Saccharomyces cerevisiae S288C: one gene and its partners. The protein of the gene in region 1 interacts with the protein of each later gene in a biochemical or structural test. Each region holds a gene or a part of one and is shown in the gene's direction. Other genes may lie near its edges.

Evidence for each region.
Region 2: of the proteins of TIM10 (region 1) and YME1, one has a biochemical effect on the other in vitro, tested with the Saccharomyces cerevisiae proteins (2 studies listed by BioGRID, with this or other methods).
Region 3: the proteins of TIM10 (region 1) and MIA40 form a complex in vitro, tested with the Saccharomyces cerevisiae proteins (4 studies listed by BioGRID, with this or other methods).

The regions. Positions count from the first base shown.
Region 1 is NC_001140.6:113,522-119,739, reverse strand, and holds TIM10 (protein transporter TIM10), read left to right. Parts: upstream 1-3,838; coding exon 3,839-4,120; downstream 4,121-6,218. Other genes in the region: STP2 (Stp2p), read right to left, coding at 301-1,926; GPA1 (guanine nucleotide-binding protein subunit alpha), read left to right, coding at 4,823-6,218. UniProt on the Saccharomyces cerevisiae protein: Mitochondrial intermembrane chaperone that participates in the import and insertion of multi-pass transmembrane proteins into the mitochondrial inner membrane.
Region 2 is NC_001148.4:608,744-614,482, forward strand, and holds YME1 (i-AAA protease YME1), read left to right. Parts: upstream 1-1,737; coding exon 1,738-3,981; downstream 3,982-5,739. Other genes in the region: EAF3 (Eaf3p), read right to left, coding at 83-1,288; TFIIH complex kinase subunit CCL1, read right to left, coding at 4,634-5,739. UniProt on the Saccharomyces cerevisiae protein: Catalytic subunit of the mitochondrial inner membrane i-AAA protease supercomplex required for mitochondrial inner membrane protein turnover. The protease is probably ATP-dependent. Important to maintain the integrity of the mitochondrial compartment.
Region 3 is NC_001143.9:74,210-78,790, forward strand, and holds MIA40 (Mia40p), read left to right. Parts: upstream 1-1,611; coding exon 1,612-2,823; downstream 2,824-4,581. Other genes in the region: palmitoyltransferase YKT6, read right to left, coding at 723-1,325; threonine--tRNA ligase MST1, read right to left, coding at 3,049-4,437. UniProt on the Saccharomyces cerevisiae protein: Required for the import and folding of small cysteine-containing proteins (small Tim) in the mitochondrial intermembrane space (IMS). Forms a redox cycle with ERV1 that involves a disulfide relay system.

The DNA.
Region 1 (6,218 bases):
GCAAACTTGTAAATCTTTTTGCAATTTAAATTAATCAAGAGAGGGCCCAGGAGGAGAGGAGTTTTGGGGAGGGGTCACTGAGGAAGCTCTCTTAAATATGGATTCACTGAAATAAATGTATATAAGATTCATTACTGCTTTTTATAGTGATAAATCCAAATGATGAGTGAATTGAACCATCCTTAGTATCCATTGTTTTATAAAGCACCGCTAAAAATAATATATTGCTACAAAAATGATATAATAATAATATTACGTAAAATACCTGAAACCGCCATAAAAATAATACCTGAATTAACCTTAAAATTCTATCCCATAAGCTTTTTTGTAAAGGGCCAGATAATCTTGAGTCTCCTTCAAATGATTCTCACCCAGAAGTTCAAAGTCCATTTGCTTCTGTAACATCTCATTAATGGAAATCATATTGCTTTCCTTTGACTGATTGATTGCGTCCTCCTCGGTTTTGTCTGGCTCCAACAACGATTGCTCTGAATCCAATGGGTATGACTTATTTGTTTCTGTAGTTGTTATTGGATCGCCTGAAAGTGGAGATAGCGCTGAGGAGGCAGAGGATAATGCTGGAGAATCCATATGCAATGTGTATCTTGATGATTGATACTCTTGTGGTACAGAAGATGCATTTTGGGGTGACAAAATTGGGGGAGATATTATTGACCACTCTTTGAGATTTTGGACTTCTGTAGGTCCTCTTGATTGTGTAGTTTGTGTAGGTCTTGATATTTGTTTGCGTTCAAACCATTGAGTGCCTATTCCAAAATCGTTTTTTTCGGTTTTGGTTGGTATGATCTTGTCATTAGGGCGTTCCTTGGACTGCATTACTGTCGCTTCTATACAATTCTTATTTTGTAAAGCTGGTTCGGAAACACTTTCGTCGGATGAGATGAACCTTGTTTGGCCATCCGAAGTCTTTATCATTTTCATTTTAGACGTCTTTTTCTTCTCTCGTATTCCCTCTGAATAGCCTTCTGGTAAACCTTTGCAACTCCCAGCCTCAATGTGGTTTTCCACCCAGCTCTCACTAGTGCTAAAGTGTTCCCCACATTGAGTGCACACTCCAGGTGATTTATTACGGTCCTGAGGCTTAACACCTTCTGGGTAAGTGAAATGTCTAGATTTCAAATGTGTTTTGTAGGTATCTCTTCTGCTAAACCCCCCAGAAGTATGGCATCGCAATTCTTGCGAAATGCTATTATCAAAAAATGGACAGTGATAGGCCTTCCTTTTCGCATGCTTTTTTATGTGTCGTGTTAAGTAACCTCTGATTCGGAACCTAGCATCGCAATAGTGACATATATATGGTAAAGTTTCGGATGACTCATCAGCAATTCCTTGAACCTCATCGGATAGGGGAGATTCATCAATACTTTTCTTCGATGCAGGAGTGATTACGCTACTTACGGGCGTGATTGGAAGGAAATTAGAGGGGAAAAGAGCTTTGTACTGGTCATTATTGATATAGGATTCCTCTAGCGGGGGAGAACTTATCAAGTCATTCTGTAACTTTGCTGGCTCGCCGCGGCTAGGGCCCCGTAAAATCGGTTCGTCCAAGTTCAACTGTGTAGTGACTGCACCATTATTATCAATTTTAATTGAGAAAGGTGTTTCTAGGTTATCCAAATTTAAAGCACAGGGTACAACTGAAGATTTTGATGTTAGACTCAATTGTTTGTTGTTCTGTTTGGGAAATAATTCGCTCACGTCAACCAGATCGTCCTTTTCGGTAGCACAGCAGTCTTTCTGTGGATGGTTCTGTTTCGCAGGTTCTAACTTTTCGAAAGGAGTACTTTTCGAAGATTTGTCGTCTTCCACATTGGGCACAATCACTTGCTGCACTAATGCTTTAAGGTAGTCATATATCCTTGTTAACACGCTGTTCCGTGTTGAAGATAGTGATAAGATAGGCATGATAATGGATTTCCTTACTTCCCCAACTTTTTGCTCTCTTGCATTTGTCTGTTTGTCGGATGATTAATCACTGTTTTTCATTTATTAATCATCGTTTTTCTCGCTTTTTGCCCGTATTGGAATGTGAAGAGAAAAAAAAAATGATAAGAATTCTAAAAAAAGATACTCTTCGTTCGAATGGATGACTCTAAGAAGGGTAACAGACTTTCAATCTTCAAATAACATTATAATCTCTATTCTAGCCCTTAGAGGAGCATGTCATGCGTTCAGAACCTCCATTAATAGCTTACTTTATAACTTTCTATCAGTCACAAGTTAAACGTCGACAATTTTTGTGGGAAATGGTCTGTTTTTTTTCTTCAGTTAATAAATCTCGTTCTTGACTGCAGGTAATTAATGGTATCGTGATCGTTACCTATGCTTACACACTATAAGAATTTTCTTCGTGAGAATTGGCCCATTTCTCTGGTTCTTCTGAAGAGAGTTTTGCTGACCATCAATCAGCTTTACGAAAATTTACCGCCCAATTTCTTGCCAAAATGCCATCCATATTCCCATTCATTGGAATTCTTTCACTATTTTATCATTTCAATGTTCTTTGTAGCAACAGGCTCTTCTTTTTCACGCTTACTGTGATCATTTGTTATAAGTGCTGGTATTTTCTCTCTTCTGGAATTCCGTGCTATTGATATCACGACATGTGCGCTTCTCATGATTTTGCCGCCCAAGGCACATTTTGCCGTCTGTTTTTAACCTAATATTTATGTCGCGGGTATATTATCATATATTGCGTAAGAGGATGGTATTGCTGATGGGAAGTGGTCAACAAATTCAATAGGCACTGAAATGTAAGGGCTGACAATGTAATTGGATAAAGAAAGGCAACACATGAAAGGAAGAAAAAAAAAACGTTATTTATTATTATGTAAAACTATTGACCTCACCTTTGTGATTCACGCTGTCCTCGTGAAAAAACTTTTTTTGTTTTTGTAGACCTAATAAAAGAACCTTTTTTAACAATGTCCTAACAATAATTTCAACAGTTGCCAAACCTCAAATAGTGTTGGAATAAAAATCCACTATCGTCTATCAACTAATAGTTATATTATCAATATATTATCATATACGGTGTTAAGATGATGACATAAGTTATGAGAAGCTGTCATCGATGTTAGAGGAAGCTGAAGTGCAAGGATTGATAATGTAATAGGATAATGAAACATATAAAACGGAATGAGGAATAATCGTGATATTAGTAAATAGAAATATAGATTCCATTTTGAGGATTCCTATATCCTCGAGGAGAACTTCTAGTATATTCTGTATACCTAATATTATAGCCTTTATCAAAAATGGAATCCCAACAATTATCTCAACATTCACCCATTTCTCAAATAGTATGTTTTGGTGTTAAAGAAGAACATTGGAAACAAAGGAAAGGTAAGCATTAGCCCGGAAACAAAACAAGAGGAAGTAATATACACCTTTTTGGTTAACTTGTTCGTTCAGAAGAGCCCAAGTATGTAATTATTTTTTGCAAATCTTTCCTCAGTAACGATAACGACACGAAGGTAATATTTTAAAACATTTATCAACAAGTCACTAAATATAATCTGGGTCCTATCACTATTAGAGCTTCTATGGCCAAGTTGGTAAGGCGCCACACTAGTAATGTGGAGATCATCGGTTCAAATCCGATTGGAAGCATTTTTTGCATTGATTTCCCAATTCGTAGCTGATGATCACCCTCTGAAGCTATCGGACATTTTTTTTCTTTAATTTTTTCAGCGAGAGAGCTGGCAGTGAACGTACAAGAGCAAGCTCTCTAAAGAACTATTACTCTCCTCGTTCCCCTCTCATGTCTTTTAACAGATAAACAAGCAAAAGAAGGAACTATCATACTTAGAAAAACATGTCTTTCTTAGGTTTCGGTGGTGGTCAGCCTCAATTATCATCTCAACAAAAGATTCAAGCTGCGGAAGCTGAACTAGATTTGGTCACAGACATGTTCAATAAATTGGTTAATAACTGTTATAAAAAATGTATCAATACTTCTTATTCCGAGGGTGAGCTGAATAAGAATGAATCTTCGTGCCTAGACAGATGTGTGGCCAAATATTTTGAGACCAATGTTCAAGTCGGTGAAAACATGCAGAAAATGGGCCAATCATTTAACGCAGCCGGTAAGTTTTAGAAATGTGCATTAAAGCAGTAATGATAAGACGAAAATAAGAAAAGAAATCCATAAGCTGTTTTACTCGACTCAACGTTATAATTAGTATTATTGATTCATATCCTGTATATACAAGTAACATTATACTCTTTTCTGTACTTCATCTTTACCTTTTTATCTTACATGGCACATGTTGTTTGAAAACAAGATCATAGGTGGATAAAGCAAGCCGAATCTAAAAAAAAAAAAATGTCTCTATTGGAAAACTGAATGCATAACGATATTCCCTTTTCATGCAGATAACACTGACTAGTTTCAATTTGAAACGCATCTTCGTGTTATTTCACCGAAACGCACTCGGCTCAGCATGTTAAAAAGCACATCAATTTAGGGCTCTGCGCGTCCTTCTGCGTATTCTTCCTTGTAGAAATGCAATTAAATGGAGAGCAGAAATTTTTTTGTTACATATTGTTTTCCTTAAAGGGAAATATTAAAAAATAGTCTAAAATGAAGAGGATAGTAGAATTCCACCAATTTCTTTACGTTTTATATTATTCGTAATCTTTTGATCTGTTATTCATTTTTTCTTGTCACTCCGTTTCTAACATTTTTGACCATTTCTAAGACCAAACTGAGTAGAAGCTATTCATACTGTAAATTGGTATTTTAGCATCACATCAATAATCCAGAGGTGTATAAATTGATATATTAAGGTAGGAAATAATGGGGTGTACAGTGAGTACGCAAACAATAGGAGACGAAAGTGATCCTTTTCTACAGAACAAAAGAGCCAATGATGTCATCGAGCAATCGTTGCAGCTGGAGAAACAACGTGACAAGAATGAAATAAAACTGTTACTATTAGGTGCCGGTGAGTCAGGTAAATCAACGGTTTTAAAACAATTAAAATTATTACATCAAGGCGGTTTCTCCCATCAAGAAAGGTTACAGTATGCTCAAGTGATATGGGCAGATGCCATACAATCAATGAAAATTTTGATTATTCAGGCCAGAAAACTAGGTATTCAACTTGACTGTGATGATCCGATCAACAATAAAGATTTGTTTGCATGCAAGAGAATACTGCTAAAGGCTAAAGCTTTAGATTATATCAACGCCAGTGTTGCCGGTGGTTCTGATTTTCTAAATGATTATGTACTGAAGTACTCAGAAAGGTATGAAACTAGGAGGCGTGTTCAGAGTACCGGACGAGCAAAAGCTGCTTTCGATGAAGACGGAAATATTTCTAATGTCAAAAGTGACACTGACAGAGATGCTGAAACGGTGACGCAAAATGAGGATGCTGATAGAAACAACAGTAGTAGAATTAACCTACAGGATATTTGCAAGGACTTGAACCAAGAAGGCGATGACCAGATGTTTGTTAGAAAAACATCAAGGGAAATTCAAGGACAAAATAGACGAAATCTTATTCACGAAGACATTGCTAAGGCAATAAAGCAACTTTGGAATAACGACAAAGGTATAAAGCAGTGTTTTGCACGTTCTAATGAGTTTCAATTGGAGGGCTCAGCTGCATACTACTTTGATAACATTGAGAAATTTGCTAGTCCGAATTATGTCTGTACGGATGAAGACATTTTGAAGGGCCGTATAAAGACTACAGGCATTACAGAAACCGAATTTAACATCGGCTCGTCCAAATTCAAGGTTCTCGACGCTGGTGGGCAGCGTTCTGAACGTAAGAAGTGGATTCATTGTTTCGAAGGAATTACAGCAGTTTTATTTGTTTTAGCAATGAGTGAATACGACCAGATGTTGTTTGAGGATGAAAGAGTGAACAGAATGCATGAATCAATAATGCTATTTGACACGTTATTGAACTCTAAGTGGTTCAAAGATACACCGTTTATTTTGTTTTTAAATAAAATTGATTTGTTCGAGGAAAAGGTAAAAAGCATGCCCATAAGAAAGTACTTTCCTGATTACCAGGGACGTGTCGGCGATGCAGAAGCGGGTCTAAAATATTTTGAGAAGATATTTTTGAGCTTGAATAAGACAAACAAACCAATCTACGTGAAACGAACCTGCGCTACCGATACCCAAACTATGAAGTTCGTATTGAGTGCAGTCACCGATCTAATCATCCAGCAAAACC
Region 2 (5,739 bases), on another chromosome or scaffold:
ACGAGATATTCTGTGAAGAGTTATTGCATAAATACGGAAGAACTAAATACTAGAAATAATCCCAAGCTAGAATATAAACGTCTCACATACCTAAAGCCACTCCTTCGTATTGGCTAGACGTATTTACATACAGAGCATCGTCACTTCTATTTGGATCCTTGTCATTGAAGTATTCGTCCACATGCATCAACAACCAAACCAAGAAGTCTTCGGTTTGTTTGATTAAAAGCTGACAGCTTTGTAGATCCATTGTAGTAGACGAGATCAGCTCTGGTAAAACACTTATCAACCTTAACAGATGGATAGCCCCATAAATTCTAATTGGTACTAGTGGCTTTTGATCCTTCGATGATTTTTTCAGAAGTTCGTCATATTGCAGCCGTTCCAACCTATATAAAAGCATATTACCCAGGCACTTGTCAAAATACAACTTGAGACCGGCACAGTATTCGCTCAACTGTGACTGGGACCCTGGCGATTCCAATTCTTGACTCACTTCATGTTCGTATTTATTCAGTACCATCTCTACCGTCACATCAGCGGGTAGTCTGCAAATTTTTTTGTCCTTCGTTACGTATTCCCAATCGTCGACTAACACGCTCTTCAATTTTATGGGAATTTGAAGGGAAATCTTGGGGGTTGGATAGCCGGCAATATGATGTAGCATATTTGGCGATAGCGAAGAAGATCTTCTGCGGTCATCATTCCCATTTTGGTCGGATGACGAGCGCAAAGAGCTGCCAGGATGGAGGGAATTAGCGGAACTTCTTCCGCTTTTCCTGCCGCTCACTGAAGATGTTAAAAAACTCTGTGAAGTGCTCTTACTTATACTAGCATTCGAGCGGCTGTCTCCCTTTCTTTTTCCACCATTACTAGGCCCTCCCAGACTAGTGGAGAGCTTCTTTTTTTTCTGCTGTTCCAGTAACGATTTCTTAGCTTCTTTCGCCTCGTTCGCCAGTCTTTTTTTCATGGCAATATTCTCTTCATTGTAGGCCCGTATCCTATCATATCCAACCCACTCATCCCAACTCGACTTCCAGCCTTGGTAATGTATGAAAAAACACTTCCCATTAATGATCTCTTCTGGAATGCTTTCATCTTCTCCCAGCTTTTGTGGCTTTATTTCCTTAGTTGCTTGTGAACTACCACCTGGCTTGTCATTAGGAATGCTGGTATACATTTTCGAAGATGGATCCCATATTTTCAAGATCTTTGCTTCATACATAAGAGGACCATGGAATGCCAGACACCGCCCACCGAGCGCAAATTCCTGCTCCAAATCAACCATTATACGTTCTTCAATAGGGTAAATCCAGTGACGAGGCCTCACAGATGCTAATGCAAAATGCTATATGCTTTTAACGACTGTTTTGCAATATACCCTTTTACGTTTCTGGTCGGGATTTCGGATGCATCTTTATTTTCATCTTTCGTGAAATGCGATATGTGGCGATCGCCGGAGGAACGGCCCCCAATCTTCGCCACCTTTTTCTATCAGCATCGGTTGGTTAGTAATCTCGAATCACATGGTACCTCTTTCTTCGAGGAGTGGTAGCTCCTGTACGCTGTAGCGGTAGTGAAAAGGCAATATATCGGAGTTGGTGAAGTGAGTTAAATCTCTACCTTGCGTTTTTGATAAGTAAAAAGCAAGCACAGCTTAAAGGATAAACAGGATTTTATTGAAGCAATTTTTAATTATAATACATTGTGGATAGAACGAAAACAGAGACGTGATAGATGAACGTTTCAAAAATACTTGTGTCGCCCACGGTCACGACAAATGTTTTACGCATATTTGCTCCCAGGCTACCTCAAATCGGTGCTTCTTTGTTAGTTCAAAAAAAATGGGCCTTAAGATCAAAGAAGTTCTACCGTTTTTATTCTGAAAAGAATAGCGGTGAAATGCCTCCTAAGAAGGAAGCTGATAGCTCTGGAAAGGCATCCAATAAATCCACGATATCTTCAATCGACAATTCGCAACCACCACCTCCATCGAACACTAATGATAAAACCAAACAAGCGAACGTAGCTGTGTCACATGCTATGCTAGCAACTAGAGAACAAGAGGCCAATAAAGACTTAACGAGTCCTGATGCACAAGCAGCCTTTTACAAACTTCTCTTACAATCAAACTACCCGCAATACGTGGTCTCTAGGTTTGAGACCCCCGGTATTGCGTCATCGCCTGAATGCATGGAACTGTACATGGAGGCCCTGCAGAGGATAGGCAGACACTCGGAGGCTGATGCCGTTAGACAAAACCTACTGACAGCCAGCTCTGCTGGCGCAGTTAACCCATCATTGGCGTCATCTTCATCAAACCAGTCAGGTTATCATGGTAACTTTCCATCGATGTATTCTCCGCTTTATGGATCTCGCAAAGAGCCACTACATGTTGTCGTATCTGAATCAACTTTTACTGTTGTATCGAGATGGGTAAAGTGGCTGCTTGTTTTCGGTATCTTAACCTACTCTTTTTCTGAAGGTTTTAAATACATCACAGAAAATACAACGCTACTAAAGTCGTCAGAAGTAGCCGACAAATCAGTTGATGTAGCTAAGACAAATGTTAAATTTGATGATGTCTGCGGTTGTGATGAGGCCCGTGCGGAATTGGAAGAAATTGTTGATTTCCTGAAAGATCCAACTAAGTACGAGTCCTTGGGTGGTAAACTACCAAAGGGTGTACTGTTGACTGGACCTCCTGGTACAGGTAAAACTTTGTTGGCTAGGGCCACTGCCGGAGAGGCTGGTGTAGATTTTTTCTTTATGTCAGGTTCTGAATTTGATGAAGTTTACGTCGGTGTTGGTGCTAAACGTATCCGTGATTTGTTTGCTCAAGCGCGTTCTCGTGCACCAGCTATTATTTTTATTGATGAATTAGATGCCATCGGTGGTAAGCGTAATCCAAAGGACCAAGCTTACGCCAAACAAACGTTGAATCAGTTATTGGTCGAATTAGATGGTTTCTCACAAACAAGTGGAATTATTATTATTGGTGCCACAAATTTCCCTGAGGCTTTAGATAAGGCGTTAACTAGACCAGGTAGATTTGATAAGGTTGTGAATGTGGATTTGCCAGATGTTCGTGGTCGTGCTGATATTTTAAAGCATCACATGAAGAAGATTACATTGGCAGACAATGTGGATCCAACTATTATTGCGCGTGGTACCCCCGGTTTATCAGGCGCTGAGCTGGCAAATTTAGTCAACCAAGCAGCAGTTTACGCGTGTCAAAAAAATGCTGTTTCCGTTGATATGTCCCACTTCGAGTGGGCTAAGGATAAGATATTGATGGGTGCTGAGAGAAAGACTATGGTCTTAACAGATGCAGCCAGAAAGGCCACTGCTTTCCACGAGGCTGGACATGCCATTATGGCCAAATACACCAATGGTGCTACCCCGCTATACAAGGCCACGATATTGCCTAGAGGTAGGGCATTGGGTATTACTTTTCAATTGCCAGAAATGGATAAGGTCGACATCACCAAAAGGGAGTGTCAAGCCAGACTGGACGTGTGCATGGGGGGCAAAATTGCAGAAGAATTAATTTATGGTAAAGATAACACCACAAGTGGTTGTGGGTCTGACTTGCAAAGCGCCACCGGCACAGCAAGGGCTATGGTTACTCAATATGGTATGAGTGATGATGTAGGTCCCGTTAACTTGTCAGAAAATTGGGAATCTTGGTCTAATAAGATTCGCGATATTGCTGATAATGAAGTGATTGAACTTTTGAAGGACTCCGAGGAAAGAGCAAGAAGACTATTAACTAAGAAAAATGTTGAGCTACATAGACTTGCGCAAGGTCTTATTGAATATGAAACTCTAGATGCCCACGAAATCGAACAAGTTTGTAAAGGTGAAAAACTGGACAAACTGAAAACTTCCACCAATACAGTCGTAGAAGGACCAGACAGTGATGAACGTAAAGATATAGGCGATGATAAACCCAAAATTCCTACAATGTTAAATGCATGATTTTATTCTAAGAAGTTAAACGTATGAAGGAACCTACCTCAAGACCGAGAATGCTTTGTTCTTTTCTGGTCGGTTTCGCTTTTGCTTCATAACACCAGCAATGAAGCATGATCGCGGGAAACTTTCAGAATCTACATCTTCTCCTGGTCAGCTTGAAACTTCAGATTATTCGTAAGGAGAAATTATAATATTATTTCTGTGATAAGAAAAGAGGCATTAAGCTTGGGTATTTGCGACAAAATACTTCAGGATAACCGATGATCGCAAGTGGGTTATTAATTTCTTTCATCCCTTAACCAACCGTCGCTTTCCCCCAGTGACAAGCCTTAAAAAAGTCACACCATGGAACGGAGTATCGTTGATGATTAAACCAATCATTAATCTTTCATAAAAGTTAAGATAAAAGCACTTGTTGATATATATAGGTACATGTGTATCAATACGCCATACATTGTAAATAGAATATTCAATGGATAAACGTGTGTAGCAAAAATAATCACATTGTAGCGCTAGTTAGCAATTTACTCATTGTCACATTTTTTGCAGTATATATTCATGGCATGAAATAATATAAAATGGCGCCGGTCTATATACCTATGCATCTTAATCTATATATATATATAAAACAGAAACCTACGGTAACAGAGCTGTTTCATGTTTTTTGCTTTTTCTCAACGGTGGACGAAGTATCTTCTCCATTCAACTTCCTTTTTAATTTCTGAATCAGTGTTGATGGATTTTGACAATAATAGTTTTTTGCCGCAATTTTCTTGGCCTCTTCAGTACTCGGAGGTTTACAATCTTCAATAATACTTTTACACTCGCGTATTATGGTTAGTAACTTCGCGGAGTCTATCGAATATTCTTCGCTCTCTGTGGACTTCTCTTTGTTTTTCTCAGTTGTACTGGCATCATTTTGTGGTTCTTCTTTTTCGTTTCCCGGTACTGATTCCTGGCTACCTTCTCTGCTGGGAAATTTTGTTTCTAAATACCTTGTGACCAAGGCTTCATCCTCAATCAATAATGTTGCTAGTGTTATTTGGGGTGGAGTGTAGAAATATACGACATCGGTTAATAATGCGGCAGTTATTCTCTTCTTACACCTATCGTATATTTGGCCCATGTAATTTAAATCAACCTTACCATAAAGGACGTTCTGGATATCTAAGAAAAACCCATGAAGCGGTTTGTAAGGATGATGGTTCAACAGTGAAAATTTCAATGATTCTAACAACTTAAACTCGAATTTGAGAACACTATCTCTAGTAGATTTGGCCTTTTGAGCAAACGAGTCCACGCTAATAAAATAGTTCTCCGATTTGCAGGCTAGAAAGATAGTAGTATGTACAATACTTTTAGGATCTATTTGCATAACAGAATTTTCTAAGAAAAAACGCCTAAAAAAGGATATCGCAGTGGCCACTACTTCGGTTGGCAAATTTAGATGCTGTGCTATTACCTGAACTTTTTTTGCGTAGAAATTCACCAAATCGAGTTCTTCTTCCATTGTCAAAGGGATAGCCTTTGCTTCTAGTACTTTTATTTCTTCTTCTGTTAAATTGTGTGCTTCTCTAAATTTTAATAAATTTTCCTCAATGTAAGCAATCGCTCGGGCATTGGTATCTACCCTTTTCTCCTGAAGTTGATCTTTAGTGTATGACCACATTCTATACTGAGAAGAGTGCCTATATAAATCATCGTCAGAAATTCTTTTGTAGTTCGGTGGCTTGTTATTCTCATCAGCCGATTTTAATTTTG
Region 3 (4,581 bases), on another chromosome or scaffold:
CATGCCATCGAGGTTACATAGAATTAGTTTAAACAAAAACCAACTATCCTCTAATATCCATGGTACGAGTATATATAATTGTATGAAGTGTAAGAATATGATATAAATAATGAGAGCACTCATAGAGAGTAACGGCGCTGAATTGTAAGAACTGTCACGTAGTAACACAATCACTGAAAGCATATAAAGTGAAATGAGAAACGGTAGTAATATCATATGCATTACCAATTCCTTTTAGTGAATTTCCATGTGCCCGAGGGGGGACTTCCAGTATATTCTGTTACATTTAAGTAAATACTTCATCAACAAATAGGGCCCAGCGGTTTCTTACACTAATTATACATTTACAACGTAAATGCTCCAGCTCAAGCATTATTTATATATCTTGTTTTCAAAAGAAAAATATAGCAATTAGACTCCATGGCCAAGTTGGTTAAGGCGTGCGACTGTTAATCGCAAGATCGTGAGTTCAACCCTCACTGGGGTCGCTTATTTTTAACTTTTTTACACTGAAGAAACAAATCAATTCTAATACAATGCCAATGGCTTCAAATCAACCTTTGGTTATAATAGTTAGGAGAATCGATGCTTACATAGTATATTATTTAAACAATTAATTTGATTTAAAAGATTTTTGTTTCCCTTGCTGCTGTCATTGGCTTTCTAAATTACATAAAGCAGATGAAAAGCCACACTATGCTGAAAATAGTGTGTGGATGCATCTACATGATGATGCAACACGAATTGGATTTTTTAGCTTGCTTATAAAACATTTTGGAACTTGCCGTTAATGACTCCGATTTGTCCACCAAATTATCCAACTTTTCACCTCTTTGTAAAACATTCTCAATCGTTTTGTGCAAAACGATTTTCGTCTCATCCAGTTCTTGTTGAACTTTCATGATAGCGTCAGCCTGTGAAGGATCTTGATATTTGCTAATGTAAGTGTCCAGTTGCTTCATTTTCAATGCATCATTGGTCTCAGTCACATCTGCCCACTCTTCCTTAGGATGTGCGACTAAATATTCATCCAATATTTTGTTTAATAGTGTGTATGCTGGTCTGACAGGATATTCTTTGTCGGTGATCAAAACACCACATATGCCCTCACTCCTGGCATAAACGTGGCCAATATAGTTGCCTTCTTCTATACTTTGTCTTTGTCCTGCACCAGTTCTAGAAGCGACCGTTTCAGCAAAAAAAGTCATAAACTGGCCAACACTAGACCTTTCAAAGAAACCAAATTGTGACAAGTCTTTAACTTCACTCAACTCTAGAGCCTTTTCTCCTCCAGAGCGAAATACACCGATGTAGTAGATTCTCATTGCCAAAATAACTTCTCTAGTGATACGTAAAGCTTCAGAAATGCCCTAGCCTGGTCTAACGCAGTCAAACTGTGCCAGAGACTTTTGTATATTGTTCATGTTGATATCTATTGTGCTTGCTCTTGATTTCACACCAAGCCAATCGTTCTGTACGGCACGCCACCCAATAAGAAAAAAAGGGAAAAGGAGCCGAATTTTGGTTTAAAAACATATAATGCTGAAATTGTGGAACACCAATTACCAACTGGAAGTAGGCTCGATCCAAAGAGTGTATATTATCAGTAAAATGCTTCGCAACTTAGTCGTCAGGAATGCGTGCAGAAACAGGCCGTCAATTCAAGTGGCAAGGGGGTTATGCCGACACCAAACAAGACGTCTCATGGCGTCCTCCCCTCAGTTCGGTAGGAACTCCAATCAGGAAAAAACAGCGGGCTTTATAATGGGGATTCTTTCTATGGCTGGTGCTTTATATTTTATTGCTCCTAATAGGAAGCCTCTTTTCGCCTCAAGGAAGGTAGAATCCGATAAAACCGCAGAGGAAGAGCTTTCCAGTGGTGGTGAGCAATCACCAGAAAATGAAGATGACAACAACAGCAAAAGCGATGAAAATGGAGATGACAACGACAGCAAAAACGATGAAACTGAAGCTGGCCCTCAATTAGGGGGTGATAAAATTGGTGCTTCAAAAGTAGCTGAAGATGGTGAATTGGTTGTTCTAGCAGAAGAAGACAACAAGTCTTCCGAAGATAAAGATACTGATGAATCAAAGGTATCAACCAAAGATGATGAGCAATCCAATGAAGACAATGCCACCGCTAACAATCAAAAGGATGAAAACATAAGTTCTGAGAACTCGGAAGAAAATACTAGTGACAAAACACTAGACAACAATGCTGGATCTTCTGAAAAAAAAGATCCAGAACATTCAGATGATGAAAAATCGCAACAGGGACAATCTGATGACAAGACAACTACTGAAGATAATAATGGAGAAGAAGAATCCTCAAAAAAAACTGTAAGTGACTCGGAAAATTCAGCTAAGCAATCTGAATCTAGCGATGAAGAGAAAGAAGAACTAAGAAAACAAGAGGAAAAGCAAATGGGTCCTACTGAAGAAGAGGTTCAACACGAAGGTGCTTATAACCCAGACACTGGTGAGATAAATTGGGACTGTCCTTGCTTGGGAGGTATGGCCCATGGACCCTGTGGTGAAGAGTTCAAATCTGCATTTTCTTGCTTCGTCTATTCTGAAGCTGAACCAAAAGGTATCGACTGTGTTGAAAAGTTTCAACATATGCAAGACTGTTTCAGAAAATACCCCGAGCATTATGCAGAACAACTAAAGGAAACATCTGATGATGAGGAACCTCAAGACAAAGTAAAGGTCAACACAATAGAATCAGCGCCAAATGTTTCAAGCGCAAAGGAAAATGCTGCGAAAAAAGCAGAGCAATCAGATGTGAAAAAAGAACCATTGAATGAGGAATCCAAACCTTAAAATCTCCTGAAAATCTCCCGAACGTAAAAAGTATAAAAGTATAAAGGATGATACATGTAAATACAGTAATATTATCTTAGTTTAATGACTACATATGGTATAATATGTGAAATATACATGAATTAATGCATCTGTGGGGCGGATGAGTCTAGTCTCTGTATGAATCCAGCTATACATCAAATCGTATCCTTTTATTTACAGGGCAAGTTTGTCATATATTTTAAGTTACTTGTAGTTTTTTTCCAGCTCAATAAATTTTTCCCAAATTTGAGACATTGTAAGTTTCTCGAAACTCTTTCTATTATCACGTTCTCGAATGTTGTATTTCTGTAACTGTACTTCCTCATCACCCACGATAATTAAATAGGAATAGTTTTTCAAAATGGCCGACTTGATCCTATACCCTACGGGTTCGTTTCTTATGTCGAGATCAACATTGAAATGCCAATCATTTAAAGGAACTGGTTCCATGTCGTCGGCTTCCAGTTCATTACGTAGTTTTTTCTGCAAGGCAGTGCACATGTCTAGCTGTTGCACATTTTTCGTATTGACGGGAATAATTACAGCTTGGTAAGGATTCAACCAAAACGGCCAACGGCCCTCATTAGAATCTATCAGTAAAGCCATAAATCTTTCGATAGAACCAAAAGTAGCTCTATGAATCATAATTGGCCTCTTGTACGAGTTGTCTTGATCCTTGAATTTCAAATCGAACCTCTCAGGTAGCTGAAAGTCCAACTGAATAGTAGCGACTTGATGAGTTTTGCGTAAATGGTCCGTAACCATTATATCCAACTTTGGACCATAGAACGCACCATCACCAGGGTTCAGTTTCCACGGTTTGCCTGATTCTTCCAAGATTTCCTTGAGTACTTGCTCAGCATGATTCCAAACTTTGAGGTCTCCAATGAAGTGATCCGGTCTTGTAGAAAAGTTTATAAAATAATTGCTCTCTGCTCCAGAACCTCCTTTAACAAAGGGGAAAATTTTGTTGTAAACTATGTCGATTAATTTTAAAGAGTTGAAAATTTCTGATTTCACTTGGGAAGGAGTGCAAAAGATATGACCATCGTCTTGATGGAACTTCCTTAGTCTAGTCAATCCCGACAGTGCACCAGAAGCTTCATTTCTATGTAGTGGTGAAAAATCAGAGAAGCGTAGGGGAAGTTCGTTATACGATCTATCCTTTTTACCGAAGATCAGACAATGGCCTGGGCAATTCATCGGTTTTAAACCGTATTCCTCCTTTTCTTCATCCGTAGTTTCCACCTTAAACATGTCATCAGCATAATTTTCCCAGTGACCAGACTTTTCCCAAAGAGTCTTTTTGTAAATCAAAGGCGTCACAACTTCATTAAAACCAAATTTGAACTTTTGTTGTAACTTCATAAACTCTATCAATTTGTTGAAAATCTTAGCACCATTTGGAAGAAAGAACATGGATCCAGGAGATAGTGGATCTGTCATGAAAAGATCTTGCCTCTGAGATACCATGGATGTCATAGTAGCTGGAGTCGCCGACGAAGCGTTCTTAGTGGCCTTTCTCGTAGAGTAGAAAGCACGATTCCAAAGAGCATTGCGAGAACAATGCCATCTTACAAGTTGTATTTTCATATTGCGAGACAGAAGGACGTGCCCTTAGCTATTGCATATGTTTTTCTTTATGTAGTTCAGCAGCTCTTCTTTTTTTCATGCTCGAGGTTTTTAAGGGCGAACTTTAACTAGATGGATTATTCAGTTTTTTTTAAAAGGATCAAA